2 linked regions of the Struthio camelus genome follow. The protein of the gene in region 2 binds, or shares a complex with, the protein of the main gene of each other region. Links are inferred from orthologs where the notes say so. Each region holds a gene or a part of one and is shown on either strand. Other genes may lie near its edges.

Evidence for each region. The genes of interacting proteins can lie anywhere in the genome.
Region 1: the proteins of JARID2 (region 2) and AEBP2 are in contact, whole or in part, in a cryo-EM structure (PDB 8VNZ), measured with the Homo sapiens proteins. The link is inferred for Struthio camelus from reciprocal best matches to the Homo sapiens genes JARID2 and AEBP2. Residues at the interface, in NP_004964.2 of Homo sapiens: Ser148, Lys151, Pro152, Lys153, Thr154, Glu155, Asp156, Leu158, Thr159; in NP_001107648.1 of Homo sapiens: Arg407, Ala410, Ile411, Asn414, Leu415, Glu420, Ser421.

The regions. Positions count from the first base shown.
Region 1 is NC_090942.1:73,481,212-73,491,174, reverse strand, and holds the start of AEBP2 (zinc finger protein AEBP2), read right to left. Parts: upstream 4,069-9,963; coding exon 3,371-4,068; intron 1-3,370. UniProt on the Homo sapiens protein: Acts as an accessory subunit for the core Polycomb repressive complex 2 (PRC2), which mediates histone H3K27 (H3K27me3) trimethylation on chromatin leading to transcriptional repression of the affected target gene.
Region 2 is NC_090943.1:98,477,761-98,487,927, reverse strand, and holds the start of JARID2 (protein Jumonji), read right to left. Parts: upstream 4,533-10,167; 5' UTR 4,518-4,532; coding exon 4,434-4,517; intron 1-4,433.

The sequences.
Region 1 (9,963 bases), on a different chromosome or scaffold from region 2:
CTTTTTAGGTTTTTTTTTTTTTTGGTGGTGGTGGGGATTTATTTGTTTAAACAAAGTATAAAATCTATCTGCATGGAAACAGCTGGTTAAAATTCACCCTAAATTTCAGGGCATCATTTTTTGATATTATGTTTGTTTCTTTTATTGTTGTCAATACTTACAAATTTCCTATAGTAATGCCCCCAAACATCTTTTTTTTTTTTTATTAACACATACCCTCAAAATCCATTCAAAATATCAGTATTAACAGTAGATGAACAGTAGTTAAAAAATTTTCTGCTGAATAGGAAAAACTTGCGAATGACCCAAACACATGTAGTATATTTTTATATTTCATACCATCTCACTCAAAAATCACATGGATAATTCATTGATAATTGCAGAACATGATAAAAGCATGCACAGAGAAAAAGGAATTTGATCACTTATGGAATTCAGGCCCTCTCACCACACCCTCTTATTTATTCAAATTTTCTAAAGAGGAAGCACAAAAAAGAAATCCCAAGCCTGAGGGCACGACGTGAATGTTACCAAACCTGCCTACAGCAGTCTTAACAGGAGAATCTTTACCAACTATACCCTTCTACTAGTTTCCCTTTGCTTAATCCTGGGACTATACAAGTCAAGCATGCTGGTTCAGTTTTTCTTTCTTTCTCTTCCCTCCCCCAGGTAATCATACTATGCAGTACACGGAGACAAGCATCGGCCAAGTTGTTTAGGACTACAGAGGCAGAACTTCAGAAGTTCTATTCAGGACACAATTAGTCAAAGATCATGAAACACCATTAAATATACTATTTCATATAACACTTAACAGATAAATTTAATATCACTTAACAGATAAAATATCATTCTCTATTAGTCACAGATTTTATACTTTAATACAAAGATGCCCAAATGAATGAATGGTTAAATCTTTAAGGATTTTATTATTTAATCATAAACCTGTACGTCCCTTTATAAGTCTAAACTATCCCCAGCTCTTCCCTAGTACTTCACCATCCTACCTTTCATGTTCTTCAGCTTTTCTGCACATCCCCTACCTTCTACAACACTCTGCTTATCTGGCTGACCCTTTAAAAGGCACATGCTATTTTCTGACTCACTGCCAGGGAACAGCAGTCATTTGGATCAGTAGGTCAAGCAAGTAACTTGTTGGGCTACATGTAGCAAAAATAATAAGGCAGTCTACCAGGCTGCAGCAAGGAGTGCACCTAAAGTGAAATTTTCCATCATTAGGAATAACAAATGGCATTCTTAGTAGTATTGCTCTTTACCTGTCCAATTCAACTAACAGGCTTGGAAATTACAGTGAAGTGTCTGTGAACTACAGTGCCTTCCTGGCATCCCCATGTTTTCCGCCTAGAAGCTCAAGACAAAACTTTACGAAGATTGAAAAGAAGGTACAGTCCTTATTTAAACAGCTGAATACAAAGGATTCACTCCTGCAAGTGAATCTGTACCAATGGTATTGCAAAGGAGCAACAAAGAGGTATACACATAGATATAACTATGTCACTACAGCAAGAGAAACACAAAAACAATGATAGAGAAAGAAAGTAGGACACTGGCTTTAGAGTGCACAAGCAAGACATAACATCAACTCTACCACCAGAAAACCCCGTGCAACTCATTTCTGTTATTTTCTAAACTCATAATTGGTCTGGACTCGGGACAGATTAGGATCAGATTTAGATTAGGCGAAAACTAAGAAAAGATTATCTTAAAACTCCACTACGTATCTGCTGTTTTTTCCAGAAGCCTACTCCCGTATTTATGTGATTTCATGTAAAATCTCAGCTTTCACACACACAAAAAAAGCTTTCTAATCTTGCACAGTATGGAGAAAAGAAAACGTGGCCCCAGTGAACCCTAAAGTCTCAAAAGTCAGATGGAAACCAAAGAACTGAATTTTTTTCCTCTGTAGTCTGAAGACTTTCAGGCCAATTACATGGTTTTGGGGAACTGACTCACAGGGGTTCTCTTTAGTTGTTTTTAATAACTGAGGCTAGATCTACTGACGCCACACTTTTGAAATACGGGTACTTGTATAGGTATACGGAATTCAGTCTAATGTATTCGGAAAATACGTATCTGGACCAAGACACACAATTCTTCACACTTTAACAATGAACTTGTCTTAAGAAAAAGTTTGTTTGATTTAAATCAGATTGTAGTTTTTACTTAACTGTAATTCTAACAGGGAAATGAGATACTTTTTTTAGGCCAAACTGAGATGAAAAATAGCACACTAGCTTCTTAAACTGTTTGAAAGGACAAACCAGAAAAGAGACCTACACTATTTTAAGTATCCTATCTTCAGCTTAAGCAACCTATCTTCAGCTTGTCAACTAAACCATAGCACATACATCTGAAAAAGCCACTAGATAAACCACAGTCTTTAGAAGTACTTGACATAATAGACTAGACAATACCTGAAAGGTAGAATTCAATCACGTGCAAGAATTTGTGCCTTTCCACAAGAATTAAGCTAAAGTCTCAGTACAAGAAAGATGATCCAAACCCCAAATAATCTTCACATTCATTGCTACAGAGATAACTTTTACATTTGATTATTACGCCACGCTTAATACTGTGCAGGCTTATTTCTTGTGCGTGCTTAATACTGAAAGACTAGCTACCTTTTTATTTTGGAAAAGCTATTTTTTCCCCCTTGCGCTTGAAAAGATTGACATTCTGTTCGTTCGTAGCACGGAGAGGCTCACACGGGCGCAGGCAGAACAAGCCCACAAAACACTTCCTACCCTTAAGCTTTAGGGCATCCCGCCTGCCCTTCAATGCAGGACACAACCTCAGCATCTTCCAAAGAGAAAACACCAGCTTCCAAGGGAAATAACAGCCAACCACTACCGCCTAAGCACACGTTACTCCGTGCTGCTCGTAACCCAGCGGGGCACTTGCGGCGGTTATCAGCGAGGCACCTACCCAAGTGAGTGACTTCTGCAGCAGCTCGGCGGCTCCCTCGCAAGCGCGCACGCCCCGGGTCGGCGGGGCAGAAGCGGCAGAAGCCCCCGAGGGCCCCCGCAGGCCGGCAGGGCCCGCACAGCCGCGGCGAGGCGAGGCGAGGCAGGGCGAGGCGGGGCGGCGGGCCGGCTCTGCCCCGCCGCCAAGCCCCGCACGCCGGGCGGCACAAGTTGGCCTGGGAAACCTGTGGCTGCCGGCCGCCGCCGCCGCCGCCCCGCGGGCGGCGTGACAGCCCCGGCCCCGCCGCCGCCGAGATGGCGCCCGGGGGCCCCCGCGGGGGAGCCCGGGGCCGCGCGGCGGCGGGACATGGCGCCCGCGGCAGGGCCGCGGCCACCGGCGGAGCCCAGCGCCGGCCCTGGCCCGGGACGCGGAGGGAGGCACTGACCTGTCCTCCGAGTCCATGCGGCTCAGCGGCTCCCCGTCCGACGACATCTCCAGGCTGCCCCGCCGGCCCCCCGACGTGGCGCTGCAGCTGCTGCTGCCGCTGCTGCCGCCGCCGCCGCCGCCTCCGCCGCCGGTGCCGGTGCCGTAGCCCTCGTCGCCGCCGCTGCTGGACACGCTGCTGGAGCTGCTCCCGCCGCCGCCGCCGCCGCGGCCCAGCCCGTCCTCCTGGCTGCCCCGGGGGCCCTTGGGCTCCTCCTTGGCGTCGGCCTCGCTGCTGCCGCCGGGGCTCAGCGAGCGGGTCTCGTCGCTGCAGCAGCCGCTGCTCGTGCTGCTGCTGCTGCTGCCCACCAGGCTGCTCTCCTCCTCCTCGCCGCCCTCCTCCTCCTCCTCCTCCTCCTCCTCTTCCTCCTCCTCCTCTTCCTCCTCGTCGTCCTCGTCCTCTCCGTCCCCGGCCTGGCTGGCGCTCTCCGGGCTCGGCTCCGACATGCTCTCCGCCTCGCCGTTCAACAGCAGCAGCGACTCTGCCTCCGCTGCCGCCGAGGACGACGGCGACGACGAGGCTCCAGCCCCGGCGGCGGCAGCGGCCGCCGCCTCCTCCTCCTCGGCCGCGGCGGCGGCCGCCGCCGCCGCCGCCGCCTCGCCGGGCAGCAGCAGCAGCAGCCCCTCCGGCTCCGCCATGTCGCTCAGAGCGGCCGCCATGGCGCCTGCGAGTCGCTGCGAGCGCGCGCGCGCGCGCGCACGGGTGGGGTGGGGGGGGAGAGGGGGCGGGGGCGTGCGTGTGTCCCGGGCGCGCGCGCGCGCCCGCCCGCCCGCCCGCTCGCTTGCTCGCGCTTCCCCCCGCCCTGGCCCTCCTCACCCGCACAATCGCGCGGCGGCGCGAGCCGCAGAGAGGAGGGGCGCCGGGCCGCCCGCCGCTGCCGTCGCCGCACGCGCTACGGCGCGCGTCCGGGGACAAAAACCTCGGAAGGGCGGAGCAGTGGCTCCTCGCGTCGCGTTTCCAGAGGGGGCGAGGGAGGCGCGCGGGAGGGGCGTTAACGGCCGAGCCCGCCGCGGGCGGAGGGGCGGGGCTTCTGCCTCGCTCCCAACGGCTCGCAGCGGGCGCGTCATCGCCCGGCAGCGGCAGCAGCAGCAGCCTTCCCCTCAGAAAAATCACCGCGTCGCGGGGGTGGGCAGAGCCGCTACTTAGTCATAGGCAGGGGGAAGTCCCGCAGGACGAGCCCGGGAAGGGAGAACAAGTCCCTCCCGGCCGCGAGTTGCGCCAGCAGTCTCGTCGCCTGCCCTCACTGCCCTCACTCGCACAAATAACCCCAGCGGCGCGGCAGCCCCGGCTTCACTGCCGCAGCAGGCTCCTCATCTTTTTAAAAAGCTGAAGTTGGGTAGCCCGGTAGTTGTGGGTAGCCGGCTGGCCGGCCAGGGCAAAGAGAGCGGGAACCACAGCTGAGAAAAAAACTTAGCGAAATTTCTATCCATGAAAGAAAGGGGAAGCGGAGGAAGCTGTAGGGACGCCAGGCCTGACTGGACTAATAGTTACTAAAGGGAGTCGGAGGAGGGGACAATATGGAGCTTATGAGAAAGGGAAAAACAAGGCTCCTCAGCAAAGAGAGCTACAGGGTACAGGTCAAGATGTGACATTACTGAGTGGGAATTGTCAAAAGACAAGCTCAACTGAGGCACAAAGGAGACAGAAAAAGGTTTTCAGCAGTACGGAATGGGATGAAGAAGTAGGCCAGCTATGCAGTGAGGGGGGAGCAAAGAGAATAAACTCGGTATGGCCTGAAACCTCCATCTTCAGTAAGGAGCGTGTTGGCTGTGGGGGCATAAGCAGTATGACTGACTAATGGCAAATGCAAAATGGAAATGATTGCATTTAAGTGGAAGTAAAACTAAACAGTTTAGTGTACTAGAACTGGGGAAACTGGATAATCTCTTTTTGATAAACCAAGTTTCATTTTGGAGGGACAGAGATTAGTAAACTTGTTAAGTTTGGCTCTGTGCCATCTAGTAACAATATGTGGTGCATGTATTTAAGAAGGAAAGGTGAATGATAAATGAAAAGATGATTGTCAATCACATACAAAGACTTCAGAACAACTGAGAAAGGCATTTTAATGTAAACATAGAATGGGATAAAGTTTACTAACGTTAGATCATGTCAGACTAACCTGACTGGCTATTTGACAAGCGTTTTAGTTATGTAGACATTAAGAAATACTTGATAAAATTGTCATGTGGAAATGATTAGAAAAGGTTGATAGGAGGGGGATTTGCAGTAAAACAGGAAGGTGGGTAGAAAAGGAAAAAAAAACAGATGAAATTAGGCAGTTTGACAAATTTTTAGAGGGATGAGGGGAATAATTGAATGCATAACATACCATTCCATATGAGTTTTAGATGTCACATGCACATCTTGTCAGTCTTTACCCAACTCTTACAGAGCTTGCCACATTTAAAAAATTATGAAGTGGTGGTAGTTTAGTTTAAAAGCAATCAACAAAACACAGAACCACAACTCAATCCAGAAACAATATTGTGCAAACTGCATAATAGGAAGAACATCACCAGTTCAAGTTACAGCAAGCGTATCCGGCATATCCACAGAGATCCTACATTCAAGCAAAAGTTAACCGCACTGGGTTAAACTCTGGAAAGGGTGCTCCTAAGACCTACATTAGCATAACTGGAGTTGTTTTCTAGCCCATCAACAAAGTAGTTGTTAGCAGCAACGTCAGCAATCTCTAGCGCAGCAACATCAAAATAGAATGTCACGGTAGTGAAAGAGCAACACGGTACCGGAGCGAAGGGACAGGGCATGGAATTAATTTTAAAGTCAAACTAACAACATCTTTAATGCGCGGATGAGTATAAGCAATTTTTTTAAAAAACAACAACAGTAAAAAAGTCATGATAGTTTTTCAGATTTCTAGAAACCAGACTCAGCCTGGAATGGAACTAGTCTAGAAAATGGAACTGGTAAGAATGCTTAAAATGAGCAGGTAGACAAGACTGAAGATGAGGACTGCTTGATCCCAATTAATCTATTTAATAGATGTATCATTGCTCTACTAAGTCCATTAGAATAGTCACCAAACTCTCAGCTTCTGCATCATCTCTGCTCGCCCCCGTTTCCCCACCTGAAACAATTTGCTCTATACCTCCCCCTTCAGTTACAAAGGTGTGGCACTCCTGCATGGCTGTTACTGTCACTAGTCCCATCACACAGTAAGAGTGAGGTTTAGAAGAAAAAGAGAACCCTTTTGACTCAGTCAAAAGGCAGCAGTAACCAGAACAATTCCTATGCCTCTTTACCCATTAATTCCTTTCCTTTCTAGAGTTGTCTAAAGGTCAGTAGCATTGAGGGACAGAATCAGAGAGGTACCAGGTCATGAGAAACCAAAAACGTGTAATGGAGCTACATAAAAGGCACCTTTCACAACCTATGAATATGAGCAAAAAAGGAAAGAAAAAAAAAAAAAGTTATTTATCTGAAAGAACTCCATGTACCTTAGTGTACATTGTCCAAATACATTCCACAATATCAAATTTCTATACTCTTTTTTTTTATTATCCGTCTGGGTTTCTTGAGGTCATGAGTGCCCCCAAGGTTCCTCGTATTTGTTATTTACCAAAAGCATACTGGCTGATTCAGACCTCTCACTTTTCACTCTCCTAAGTGGAGCAGTAGAGATGCCAGTTCATTAGGTAGTCATTTGTTTATTCAAAGAGGGCCAGTGAAATGAACCTCAGGGCACAAATGAATAGGAAGGACAGTATGGAGTCTGCCTAATGGAAAGCAGTTAGCATTTAAGCAAGAGATCAGTACCAAAGGGGTTAGTACTGCAGCAGTCATCAAAGGAATACTCTTTGATGATCTCTTGGTGTGCTGTTCTGTTTTCAGGACCACCAAATCCTCAATCCAGACTTGGTGCTTGAGCACTGCAATAAAGTCAATCAAATACAAGCAGCAGCAATGGTGACTTGAGTCTCTTGTTATTGAAGTTTTTCCTGTGACAAATTTTCCAGCTTAGCAAAGGCAATCTCCTTTTTCTCTATGGTTTTTGACTTTTTGAAACCCTGGCTCCAGTCTTGAAAGAAGAGCTCTGTGTGAGAACAGGTGAGTCTAGAACTTGCAAAAGCATCAAAATTAGTTATATTTAAATGGTCTAATGAAAGCTCAAAGCAAGGGACATGCTGTTAGGAAATCCTTTAGGAAAAAAAGAATTTACACATCCACTTACTTACACTGTAAGGGTGGATGTTACTCTCTCATTCACACAAAGGGCTGCCGGTATGCTCGGTCTAACTTGGTATGATCCTATTACAACAGAGACAATACTTTAAAGCTGAAGGACTTATGATGAGACATGCTAATCTCTGGTACTCCAAAGATATTCTCAACAAGGTACAAAAGTAAACAAAAGTCAGTAGATAAGCTAGCTAAAGCTTGTTCGTGGTAAAGCGTCCAAGCAGAATCCTTCTCCACTAGCAGAAGAACAAACAACAAGCTTAACAAATCTCTGAGAGAGATTTATGTTGCATTGCAGACACAGCAGAGCAGGGAGAAGAAATTAAGAGCATACCTGTTATTGTCTTACCTCAGGAACACAAAGGTGCAGGTGCATTCACTTTGACAGCAGAGTCAATGATGAGCACGCGCACTCCGAAAAAGTAATTTCTTTTCTTGAGTCGCAGCAACTTTGCAGGTTTTTGGTTTTTTTTAAAGGACACTTCAGTGAGATCATCAGAAGTAGCTCAGCTTTGGTACTTTTTATGCAATGTTTTGAGTTTTTTTCCTAATGTTGATCAGCATCAAGATACTCTTATAAGGTATAGTATGCAAACAAAATATTTCAAAACAGAGAGAAAGGTCTATAAAAAGAGAGGGAAAAAAATACCATAGGCATAAGATACAGGAAAAATGACAGCCTGTCTTGTACTTGTTAGAATGCATGGGGGAAATTCTGTAAAACAAGACACTTGGTCACTGACCTCTTTTCTCCTCCTCCTGCCTCCGCATGTATGTCTTAAACACTGCAGGAAATTCCTGCTGCCTGAACCTCATGACTCACCTTGCTCACAATAATCTGCCTGCTCAGCAGCCTCTGGACACTGCACCCTTCCCTTTGTGCCCCACCCTGCCCTGTCCAAATCCAAGGTCTCGAGGAAGAGGCTGCAACCTCCCGTTCCTTCAGCTAAGCATCCAGCACTCATTTCTCACCCTTCTGTTCAGACCAAACTGAAACTACCTCATACCTCATCCTTCAATTGCATTTCTAACCCCACCCTCTCCTCCAGCAGCCAGTTAATCCTCCCTTTAAACTCCCTGCACTCTTTTTCTTTTTAAAGTTGCCTTTAATCTTTCCCCATATTTGTTTAGAAAGCAGGGCAATGACCATAAGAAACATCACGTCTCAGTTAGGTTGGTTCGAGGAAGCCTGCTGGGAATGCATGTTTGCCTAGAGTCCCTCTTCTATAGCCCCATTAGGCTGTGACCCAAAGCTGAGGCTGTAGACTAGCGTTACAAAACACTCTGTGGCAATATTGCTAGGGTCCTTCTTCCGCCTCCTCCCTTGCCCATGTTTTGTTACAGCTCTCCTGATGACACACTGCCCCTTCTGTTGGGCCTGCACAGCTGGCTGTGAAATTCATGCCATGAGCTAGACCAGAGAGCTAATTTCAGTGGTAACTAGGAGAAAAAAATTAAATGGCGTTCTGGTGATCTTGGATCATGAAACTTGAGAAAACTCCAGACAGCTCAGTTAAATGTAACTATGCCCATTTGGGGAATGGGAAAAACAAGGAACAGAGAAATTTAAAAATCACGAGGGCTACAAAAAGAATTAATAGCTGGTTCAGGAATGGGAAACCCCATTCTATCGTTCTGGAGGTTATCCAAAAACACGTTCTAATATCAATTATATTGCGTTTATACTACCATAACACCCTGAAAACCCAGGGCATCTTTGTGTTAAGTTGTATATAAGTACAAATAGTAAGAGGAAGCCCACTTTCCATAGACACTGTGATATAATCAAAAGGAATCAGATACATTACAAATACATAAAACCTCTTCTTTAAAGTCTACAGTAACATTAAATTTGCTACCACATGATACTGAAGGAAAACAAATGCAAAAAGCAAAACAAGTAAGAAAACATGAAGATTCCTTATAAGTGAAATATTATGTGGCTTTAAATTCAAGGAATTAGAATGCCTCATAATGCTTTTCATTTATAGGGTTTATAAGCTGTTGCAAAAAAACCCAAACAAACACAGAATTTAAAATAGGTACTATGTAGCTAAGATGAGCTATTAGTTGAGTATTAGATGAACTCTTAGTATGAGTATTATTGGCACCACTGAGAACCAACTCAGAATTTGCTTCAAAAGCAAACATGACTTGCAATATTTTTTACACTGGTATATCTATCTAAGTATTAATCCTGTCATCTTGTGCCAGAAGCTAAAAATGAGATGTGCTCTTCTTTGAATCTATTCAGAAAGTTTTCCAAATGCTGCACTAGAAAATTTAAATAGGTAATGCAGTACATCATATTAATAGATAAAACAATAGTGCATGTAATACTATACAAGCAA
Region 2 (10,167 bases):
GGAAAAAACAGAATGTTTTAAATGCAAATTTGGATTTTGCAGCAGTGCATGTATTCCTCTGCAAATGCCACATCTGCTAAATCACACAAAGCTGAGTACTTCTAATAAAAAATAAGAAACGTGTCTCTGTTTTTCTTTTCCCTATATTAAAATTACATTTAAGCCTTCCTTTCACTTGAGTGATGCAAACTAGAAACTTAAGAAATGAAAGCAGCTGGTGTTTCCCCTCTCCCCAAGTTAAAGTTGATTGAACTCGGTCACTATAGAATATAAATAAAAAAAAAAAAAGTACTCCCCCAGAACTTTCAGTTACGTTAAAACCAGGAAATATCAGTAATATGTACAAACAAAATACAAATTTAAAATCTGGAGTCTCTTAGTTTCATATTATGAGATTTAAAATTTGACCTACTTTATGTAATACTCCCACAGCTGAGTCATCACGATTATCAACTGGTCTTTATCAGCTGCAGCGTATGATCATCACTCAAAAAAAATGAAGAACCAATACTGAAATGCATCTTGCTTTTTTTTGTATTATGTTAAAAATATACTGGCAATCTAACAGTGAGTCCAGACCGTAACTAAGGAAAAAAGGCCTTGAACAGAGAAAGTTTGAACCACATCAAGTACTGCCTTTGTAGCAGATGCTGTGCCTTATAGCAAGATAGCATAAGCTACAGGACAGAGTATTGGACTAGATTGCAGAAATACAGATTAGTTCCATCGCTGCCACGGTTACAGTATGTTGCTTTAGGCAAGTAATTTAGACTTCTTTCTGTTTCATCAAACAATAAAATGGAGGGAAAGCTACTGCATTACAAAATCAGCTGACGTTTATACCACACTTTAACATTCATAATATTAACTATTATTTTACTTCCATAGAAAAAGAAAGGGTAGTATATTCTTAATACTGGCTTAGCAGACCTCTTAAAAGAGGTGAAAGTGCCTAATGAATCATTAAGAACTTTTCACAGGGCTCTTGATTCATTAGAATTCATTCTGGAGAGCATCTTACACAGACTTCTGGCTTATAGTCCATTGGAGTGAGCAGGAGTCTGTTAGTACCTCAGTGCGAGGCATTTGTTCACAGTAGATAGTTCATGTCCATTAAAAAAAAAAAAAATTACTAGTTTCTAGTTCATGCCACCCTATAGCCACCAGCAACATAACATCTCAACAGACCAGCTTAACGAGCTTAAAAAGAACCCAAACTAAGACAGATCTTAAGCCTGACTAGCATTCTTACACTGTTAGCTAAAAATCTACAGATTAAAAAAAAAACCCACAGCATGCTATTTTGCAGAAGGAGGTGTGACACTGGAATTGTCACCGCAAACCTAAGAAACACCCAGCGTAAGAAAGCTGCAGAAGGTCATCCGAAATAAACAACAATGCATAATGAATGCTACTATTGCTATCACCGATGGGTTTACCTATCTCCTTGCAGGAACTGGTAAGGACTCAGAAGACCCCCTTGGTTCTGGGCCTGGACAAGAGCGTTGGTGGGGGGGGAGGGTGGGAAAAGAGGAAACCCCACATGGAGGGGCTGAAGCCCTGGGGGGACGGAGGCACCCACCCCGAGTCTGCTGTGCCCCTGCACACAAAACGTCCGTCCCTCAGGAGGTGGCGCTGCCCTACCACCGCGCCAGCCCTAAACCACCACCTGCCCCCTGCCCCGGGCAGCCCCCCACCCCACAGCGCTGGGGAAGGCGCCGGGAGCCCCACAGGCCACCATCACCCACCTACCCACCTGCAGCCTGGCGGCATCCCGCAGCAGCCGGGTTTCAAGAACCCGATCTGATAAGCGAGGCAATTTCGTGCCTGCTCCTCTCACAGAGATATTGAGGATTTTGCTGTAACACAATTTATACACGTATTACTTAAACATATGTAGCGCTCTTTCAGATCGTGCTATAAATACGCCCCCAAGCACAAAGTGTTGTTTAAAAAACCGGCAGCACTGAGAGGAGCTCTCCTCAGATGTCTGCAATACACTAATTCTCTACAGGCCCCGTTGACCCTGTTTGAGGGGCTTACGCGGCTGTCTTTAGGTGAAGCGTGTCACCTTATGGCAGACTACAGCACTTTTACCTCTGCAAGGACAACGAAACAAATCACACAAGGAGACAGTAGTGACATTATTACTTAATTATATTTTGCCATCTGCTACCGTGGCAGAACTATGCAAGTATTTTAAGACAGTAATCCAGGTCTGTTACTTCAAGACCTAAACCAGAAAGAACAGAAGATTTGCTATTTGACATCACAAAAACGGGCAGAAAAATGCACCTGTGAAATTATGCTTAAGACTTCAAAGGTTTTTATTTAAGAACTATTAATTCCAAGCGCATACCGAATGCAGTCTGGCTTCTCGGCTGATGCTTTACAAAGCTGTCAGTTTTCTGAGGCTTGAGCCAAAAGGCAATATTTGATATGTAAAGATGTTTGAGAAGGAGGAGGGTAAAGTGAGAAGAAAGATTTGTATGAGTCAGCCATAGTTCTTTTAAAAATTAAGTGATATCATTTTTAAAGAGCAGGGAAAAAAAAGACATATATACACGGATTTCCTCATTCCTGGGTTAACAGTTGCAAAGATAATACATTCAAAGTTTAAAGGAACTTTTAATTACCATTATTTACAAAGCAGCAAGTCAAGCTGTACGGAAGCAGCAAGCAGCTTACAACACGTAGGTTTTACTCCATTGTTCTCACTGCCTTTTTGTTTTCAGAATTCATTTTGTAAATGAAAAGTAATGGTCTAAACAGACGCCAGTTGCAATATGACAGTCGGCAGTGATGTGAGGATCTCAGCTCTGTGGCACACCACCAAGCCTGTACTTTGTTTTTGTTTAGTTGAGTGGGTTTGCTCATCGTCTTGCTACTTATGACAAGGTATTACTCACTAGCACGACTGTCATACCTTCTTACTTCAGACCTTTGTTTACCATAAAGCATCACATTCAGCCAGCCACACAGGCAGTATATGACACTAGGTGGACCATTGTTCTGCTCCCGTACAGCAGCTCCACAGGAATTCCTAGCAGCCAGCTCTTCCATACAAAGAGATCATAAGATTACTCATGACAGTAAAATACAGAGGGACTGCCTTTCCTCAGCGACTGTGAACTTCAAGTGGCAAATTTTCCAGGTCACCTAAAACGACAACATCTCCAGATCTACTGAAGCGTTGAGCGCGGACTCCCAACTTGTGAGTCACCCAAAGACCCAGGACGCACTTTTGTGTGTGATCAACAACTGCGCCTCAACGCGAAGCCGAAGGACATTACTGGTGAAGAGGCAAAAAGAGGAAAGACTAACTGGGGAGGGCGGGTTACGCGTGCAGCCACCGGCGCAAGTCACCTTTGCGAAGGCTGGGGCCAGGTGACAGCTGCCCAAAGTTGTGGGTGCGCACGCGCTCGCTCGCACCTGCAGCCCGAGCAGGCAGACAAAAGACCTGCCTGGCATTTGCTAGGAGGAAGCCGTTGCCCAGCATGCTCTGCTATGATGCTGCACCGCTCAAAAGGTCACAGGAAAAAGAAAGGTGTCATGCCATGTCATTACCCCGCCAGCATCCCGGGGGCTGCCGCCACCCGCGGGGGCGCCGCTCGCCCCGCAGCGCCCCACGGCGCTGCCAAGCCGCGCACCGCCACCGGGGGGGGGGGGGGGAGGAGGCGGCGGGGGGTGGGGGGGGGAAGCGGGGCCCAAGGACCTCAGAGACCTTCGCCGCAGGGAGGGCGCCCCCAAACCGGGCGGCCCACGGTCACCAGGGCGCCCCTCGGCCGAGCCGGGCCGGGTTGGGCCGGGGCAGGGCAGCGGAGCCCGGCACCTGCTCACCTGGTGCGGGGCCAGGCCGGCCTCGGCCCCCGCCGCCCCGGGGCCTCCCCCCGCCCCAACCGCCGCGGCCCGCCTCGGCTCTGACGTCACGCCGGGGGCGGGAGAGGAGGAGGAGGAGGAGGAGGAGGAGGAGGAGGAAGAGGGGGGGGGGCCCCGGAGCGCCGAGGCGACGAAGATTCCACGGCGCGCAGGCCCTTCCCTTTGTGACGTCACGGGAGCGAGGCGAACCTGGCCCCGGCCGGGCGGCGTGGCCGGGAGCCCGCGGCTCGCGCTGACATCCCGCGTAACCTGTTGCTGCCGCCGCCGCCGCCGCCGCCAGCGCGCCCCGCCGCGCGCCGCCCCCCGCGCCCCCGCCGAGGCGCACGGCAGCCCGCTCGCCCCCGCACTCTCCCCCCGCCTTCCCCTCCCCGCGCTCGCTCTCTTTCCCCCTTCCAAAAAGAGAGGAGGAGGAGGAAGGGAAAAAGAGAAAAAAAAAAAGGAAAAAGAGGCGCAAAAAAAAAAAAAGGGAAAAAAGCGATTTGCCGCCGCCAAGTTAAAACTTGTAACACAAGATACATTGTCTCCCCTAGCATGCTCACATGTGTACCTCATACCTCCCCCGTGGGGCTTGAGGGGCTGACAGTAGTTTTACTAATTCTCTGCCCAGCGCTATGAGTGTAGCCAGAGTAACGCTGCATTGTTCGCTCCCACAAACCTGCGAAAGGTTTTAGAAATAACAGGTTTGGGGGTGTTTACCCCCACCCTGTTCCTTTTAATTATTAACATCACAATTTCCTCCTTCCTCCCTCCCCCCCCCCCATTCTGCTTTGTTTCACTGCCTGGGAAACGTGGACGTCTTACATGTTTCGCTAGACTTTCTACACAATGTTCCTGTTTGGATGCAATACTTTAAACTAGTCAGCTTCAGACTCCCAATTCCTCTGCAATGCGGATATATTTTAATTCGAAAATTCGGCGGAGAATAGGCTGAAGTTTTTAATTATTGTTTAATCTCACGTCCCTCTAAATTACATTTTAATGGGTCGAAAATCGATAGAAACAGTCATCTGAAGTCAACTGCAGTTTTTATGAAATCTATATAATAACAAGGTAAAGTGTCCCGAAGGTCACCCTCCCTTCAAAGAAACACACATATCCCCCCCCCCCGCAGAAAAAAATAGCACAAATGATACGTACCATATAAACTACAACTTTTTAAGTGTCGCATCACACACACCCTAAAGCAACTCCTTTTTTTTCTCTCCACAAAATGAAGAATTTTTTAAACATGCAGATAAAAATCATTATTCGCTCTACTGCATATTTGGCTAATCCCCTCAGTTTTTCCAAACGTAAAGAAAAACTCCCCTATGCCAATCAAAACGTAACTGGAGCACGAACAAAAATCCAACTATCCATGCACATTTATATGTTTAAAGGATTAGACAATTACGAGGGATTGGTTAAGCGGTTGAATAAAGAGAGACAGAAATACAGCCCGGGCTGCACTGTATTCTCCCAAATTTTCAAGCCATCATAATGAATTTTTAAACTACACCGAGCCATTTTCCCATTATTAAAGGCAATCCCAACAAACGCATTCCCTGCAACACGATCCCCAACTGGTTTGCTTTCTATTGCGAGCCAGATAAGCAAACGATCACATACATTAGATTTGATGTGGTAGTGCAAGAAACAAGCTCGCCATAACCAGACACTCGATTTCAACTTAAAGGGCTTTCAACAACCACAGTGGCTTCACCAGGCAGGAATATATACACACGCATATCGTCAAATATGTTCTTTTGCATGCAAAGCGCAATATTAATAAAACCGCTTGAAAATGCAGTTTCGTTACATTATCACAGCAGCCCCCCGAGCTCCCTGCCTTTCATCTAAAACTAGATTATGATTGTGTCATTTGAGGTCAATACATTTATTCACTGGAGGTATCGCTACACAAATCTGGTTTTATAACCAAACTGCATAGAAGGTTTTCCCATTAAAAGGGGCCTATGAAACTCCCCCACCACACCACAGAAAAATAAAATTCAGCATTACATTTGTTTTAAAAGCCTTAGAGCTGCAGGATTAGCTATAAACTTGACATTCACTGCCATTTCCTAAAACTGGGAGTCAAATGATATATGTTATGACCACTTACGTATTTCTTTTGAATTATATTCCTCTTGGGTCTTTCTTTGCTCATTCTGGTATCCAAATTCTGATTGCAAAAGGGGACAATTGCTTCATGAATTAAAGCCGCGACAATTTAAAAAAAAAATACCGAAAAATCCTGGGGGGAGGGGGTTGTTTGTAGTGGTATCTTGTAATCCGACTTTCTTTCCTCACAATGTGATTCTCCTAGCAATAAATCCGAGATATGGGGGATGAAAAAAAAAAAAGAAGAAGAAGAAGAGACGAATGCGAAGGAAGCAAAAAAAAAAATCACTTTAGTGAAACATTGTAATGGAAAATTTCCCCCTAAACACAAAAAACGACGCCCTTGATATCCCCTTTTCTCTTGCTCAAGCCACCTAAGCGATCTGCAGGTCCTTAGTGTCAGAGCTGTAGTTACATCTTGGAAAAGGAACGGGGTTGAAAGGAGAAGATAAATAAAAATGTTGGAAGTCACGTTTGTGCTGCTGCAGCAGGGAAAGCAGCAGAGACAACTCGCAGCAGCAGCAGCAGCAGCAGCCCCAGCAGCAGCAGCAGCAGCAACAGCAGCAGCCCCAGCAGCAGCAGCGAGGGCTGCACGCACTGTGTGTGTCTCTGCTCCTCCAGCTCCCCCTAACCAATGAGAACAGCTCTCCGGCAGCAACTTTAAATGGACCTGATTTTTTTTTAATATATATGTATGTGTGTGTGTGTATGTGTGTGTGCGCGCGCGCCCGTGTGTGTGTGTGTATGTATATACATATATATATACACACACACACACACACACATACATACACACACCCCAGATAGGGCTTGGCCTTAACTCCCAACCGGGACAGCAGCCGCAACACCCGGCCTCGCTGCATTCAACGCATGCAACAGGCCTCGCTTACACTTCATGCAGGTTAAGCGTCACACGCCTTCCTTTTTTTTTTTTTTCCTTTCTTTTTTCCTTCTTCCCCCCTCGTCTTCTTTTTTCTTTCTTTTTTTTTTTTTTTAAGGTTTTTAAGTGCGGCCACTCGGCGGCCAAGGTCGCCGCTGCCCCCCTGCAGCACAGCCCGAGCGGGGAATTTGGCGACGGTCCCTCAACGCACAGCACGCTCGGCCGCCCTGCCCTGCCCCCCTCCCCTCCCCGCCCCGCAGCAGCCTCACTCCTCCTGTCTGCCAAGGTCTCTCCTTCCGCCCCGGCCCTGCCCTGCCCTGCCCTGCCCCGCCTCACGTCCCCCTGCTCTGGCATGCACCGGGGCCCGCCGCGCTGGCAGCACCTGGCCTCGCCGGCGGGGCTCCGCGCAGGGCCCGAGAATTGTCCTTGCTCGCGGGAAAGTTGTAGTTCCCTCGCCACAAAATGGCGACGGCGGGGAACTACACCTCCCGGCGTGCCGCGCGCGGCGCCCCCCCTTGCCCGCCGCCCATTGGCTGCTCCGCGCGGAACCCCCTTCGCGACGCTCGTCCTTCCCTTCTCCTCCTTCTCCCCCCCCCGCCTTCCTCCCGTTGGCCTGCCCCTCCTCACCCCCCCCGCGCCGCGCGGTGGTGGAGGCGGCGGGGGGGGGACGGAGGGAGGGGGCGCGCGAGGGGCGGTTGGGCGGCGGCGGAGGTGGCGGCGAGGCGGGCCCCACCCGCCTCCCGGGGGAGGGGGCGGCCGAGGAGGAGGAGGAGAGAGGGAAGTTTATTGGGGATTTGCAGAAAGGGAATGGGGGGTGTGGGGGGGGAAGGAGGCAGGCAGGCGCCGTGGGGGACTGTTGGGAGAGTGCGAGGATTAATGCGTCTGGGTTAGGTTAGGGAGGTGCAGCACGAAACTTAATTTATCTGAATCGCGGCCGCAGACGACGAGGCCCGCCGGTGACGGGTCTTAGGAGCCGGCTGCTCGGCGTGGCGGGCGGTGTCAGCTCAGGACAGGCTGCCCCGGCTGGCGTGAGATTTGCTCGGTGTGCCTCGGAGGTGTCCTGAGGTCACTCGTCGGCCCTGCGCGGCGCCTCGCAGCCCCGCGGCTGCCCGCCTTGCTCGGAGGGGCCCGGGCTGCTCGGCTGCAGCGGTAGGGCCGGGCCGGGAGCGGCCTCGCTGCGAGGTTTGAATTGCCTGGTGCGGCTGCGGAGAGGAGCCTGCGGTGGCGGCTGCGGCGTCCCGCGGCTCCTGCGGGGTGGCTGGCCGGCACCCGCTGCCCGTGCGCAGCTTGCTGTGCAGGCTGGGCTGATCGCCGCAGGCTGCTCTCGTCTGCGGGAGCCCTGGTGCTGACGGGGGTGTTTTATGTCCTGTCGGGCACCCAGCTGACTTCGGTGTTAAAAGTGGATGGATGGTAATGTGACTTGGAAATGCAGTTTTAAAGCAAAAACCTGTAAAATTCAAGTACGCGACTTTCCCGGTAAAGAAAGCAGGGAACCGGCTGCAAAATGAAACTCGGACCTTCAAAGTAAAGGCAACAATTCTGGAAGGGGGGAGTCGCATCTGTTTTAGGGTTAGGGAGGAGGGAGAATAATTGATTTTCCCCTGGTGATGTATCAGGAAGACTTTTACTGAAGTCAGTGGCTGCTTGTGCTTTCCATACAGCTCAGCCTGTACCAGGCGATGTACGTCTATATTAACATCTACGCTTATGTAACACTTCAGAGACTTTACCGTGTATTCCAAATGCAGCTAGTGTTCATATCAGTTCTGTAAGGTATTACCTCCGCTCTGTGGACGCAAAAACTTTTGTGTAAGGCTGTTGAAGGGCTGCTGTGCAGGAGAGCAAGAGATCCAAGAGTCCCCAGGGGAACCTCAGTTGCCTGACTCCTAGTCTTCTGCTTCAAACACAAGACCGTCCTTCCTGCCTTAAAACACGTATAAGAGAGAACACTGTGCTCACTCACCCTAGAAATGGGACACAAATGACATTTAAAACACTAAATGAAAAAAAAAGAAAGCAAGTTATTTCATATTTTCTTAGTTTTCCCCTCACTTTTCCATGCTCATTACTAGTTATTTTACTATTCTTTTTCTTCCTCTCTAGTCTTATTCTATAAGTTAAGCTGGGGAAAATGGTCTCTGTTCAGCCTCATTCAACATCAAGTTTTTGTGGTAATGCTACTTGAGATCAAGTTAATTTTTTGAAGCCTTTTCTTGAAGACTCTTGTTGGAAAACATCATTTCAAAGTGTAACTAAAAAGATTTTTGTTCCTACCTTTAAATTGGAAATACGCAAGTTTCTTTGAGGACTATTTAACTTTTTATCCTCAGTTATTTTTATTAAAGTGTTTAGGTAGATTGAAGGCCTAGGACATGTTTGGAAGAAAACATATTTGTCTCAGGTTGTCTTCAATCAAGATTGATGAGTCTGTGACTTTCTAGGAGACATTTCAGAAAATGAGAAGAGGCAAAGTTAGTCATACGTGTATTTCTGAGTCAAAAATGAAGCAAAAAATTCTTGTAGCAAACCTCCCTGGCTTTTTTCAAATAACATAAGGTAGCAAAAATAACTATTTTCTCCCCCTCTCACTTTGGCAACTTCTTGCCTTGTCTCAGTGCTTGTCTTGCCTTCTTGCCTTGTCTCAGTGCTGCTGTGTTTGCTACTGGGTTTTGTTTCATGTAGTGAACAGGAGCCTATTATCGATGCAAACTAAAGCATTTTCTCTAGAATGGGTGGTAGAAACCTTGACCATAGATCCGTAGTTCTGTTTACATTTGTGTCCTGTTCTGCCAAGTGTTGTGTCATGTACATGCTCTGTATTACGTATCTGCTGTGGAACTTGCCCTTCTGTCTTAGCTTGTAGGCATTTTGGAGACTGACCTTTTAAATACTGAAGTTTAACTGGTCTACAAAATTAATGGAATGCTAATACTATAGATGTTACTATTGCAGGCTAACTGCTACTGATGTCAATGTTTGCCCTTTGATCACGTATTTTCAGGAAAGCTATAATTTGATAGTGACTTTCATCCTGGAAACTTCCAGCTAGATTTGTGCCTTCAAAGTGCTTCAGAACTGCCTGACATTTGCATGGTGGAGTTTCCTTGTTTTTATCTTATTAATATCTTCATTGTATGTATTCCTTTTACCATAAAATATTTCTTCCTCTCCTCCAGTAACACAAATTTATAAAGGAGCCCAAAACACTGGATTTATATTCTACAGGTTAGTTTTTATTACCCTCCAGAGTCAACCTTGCCAACAACTGTCAGAAGACAGGACGGGCTCAGTTTTCTGAAATATGA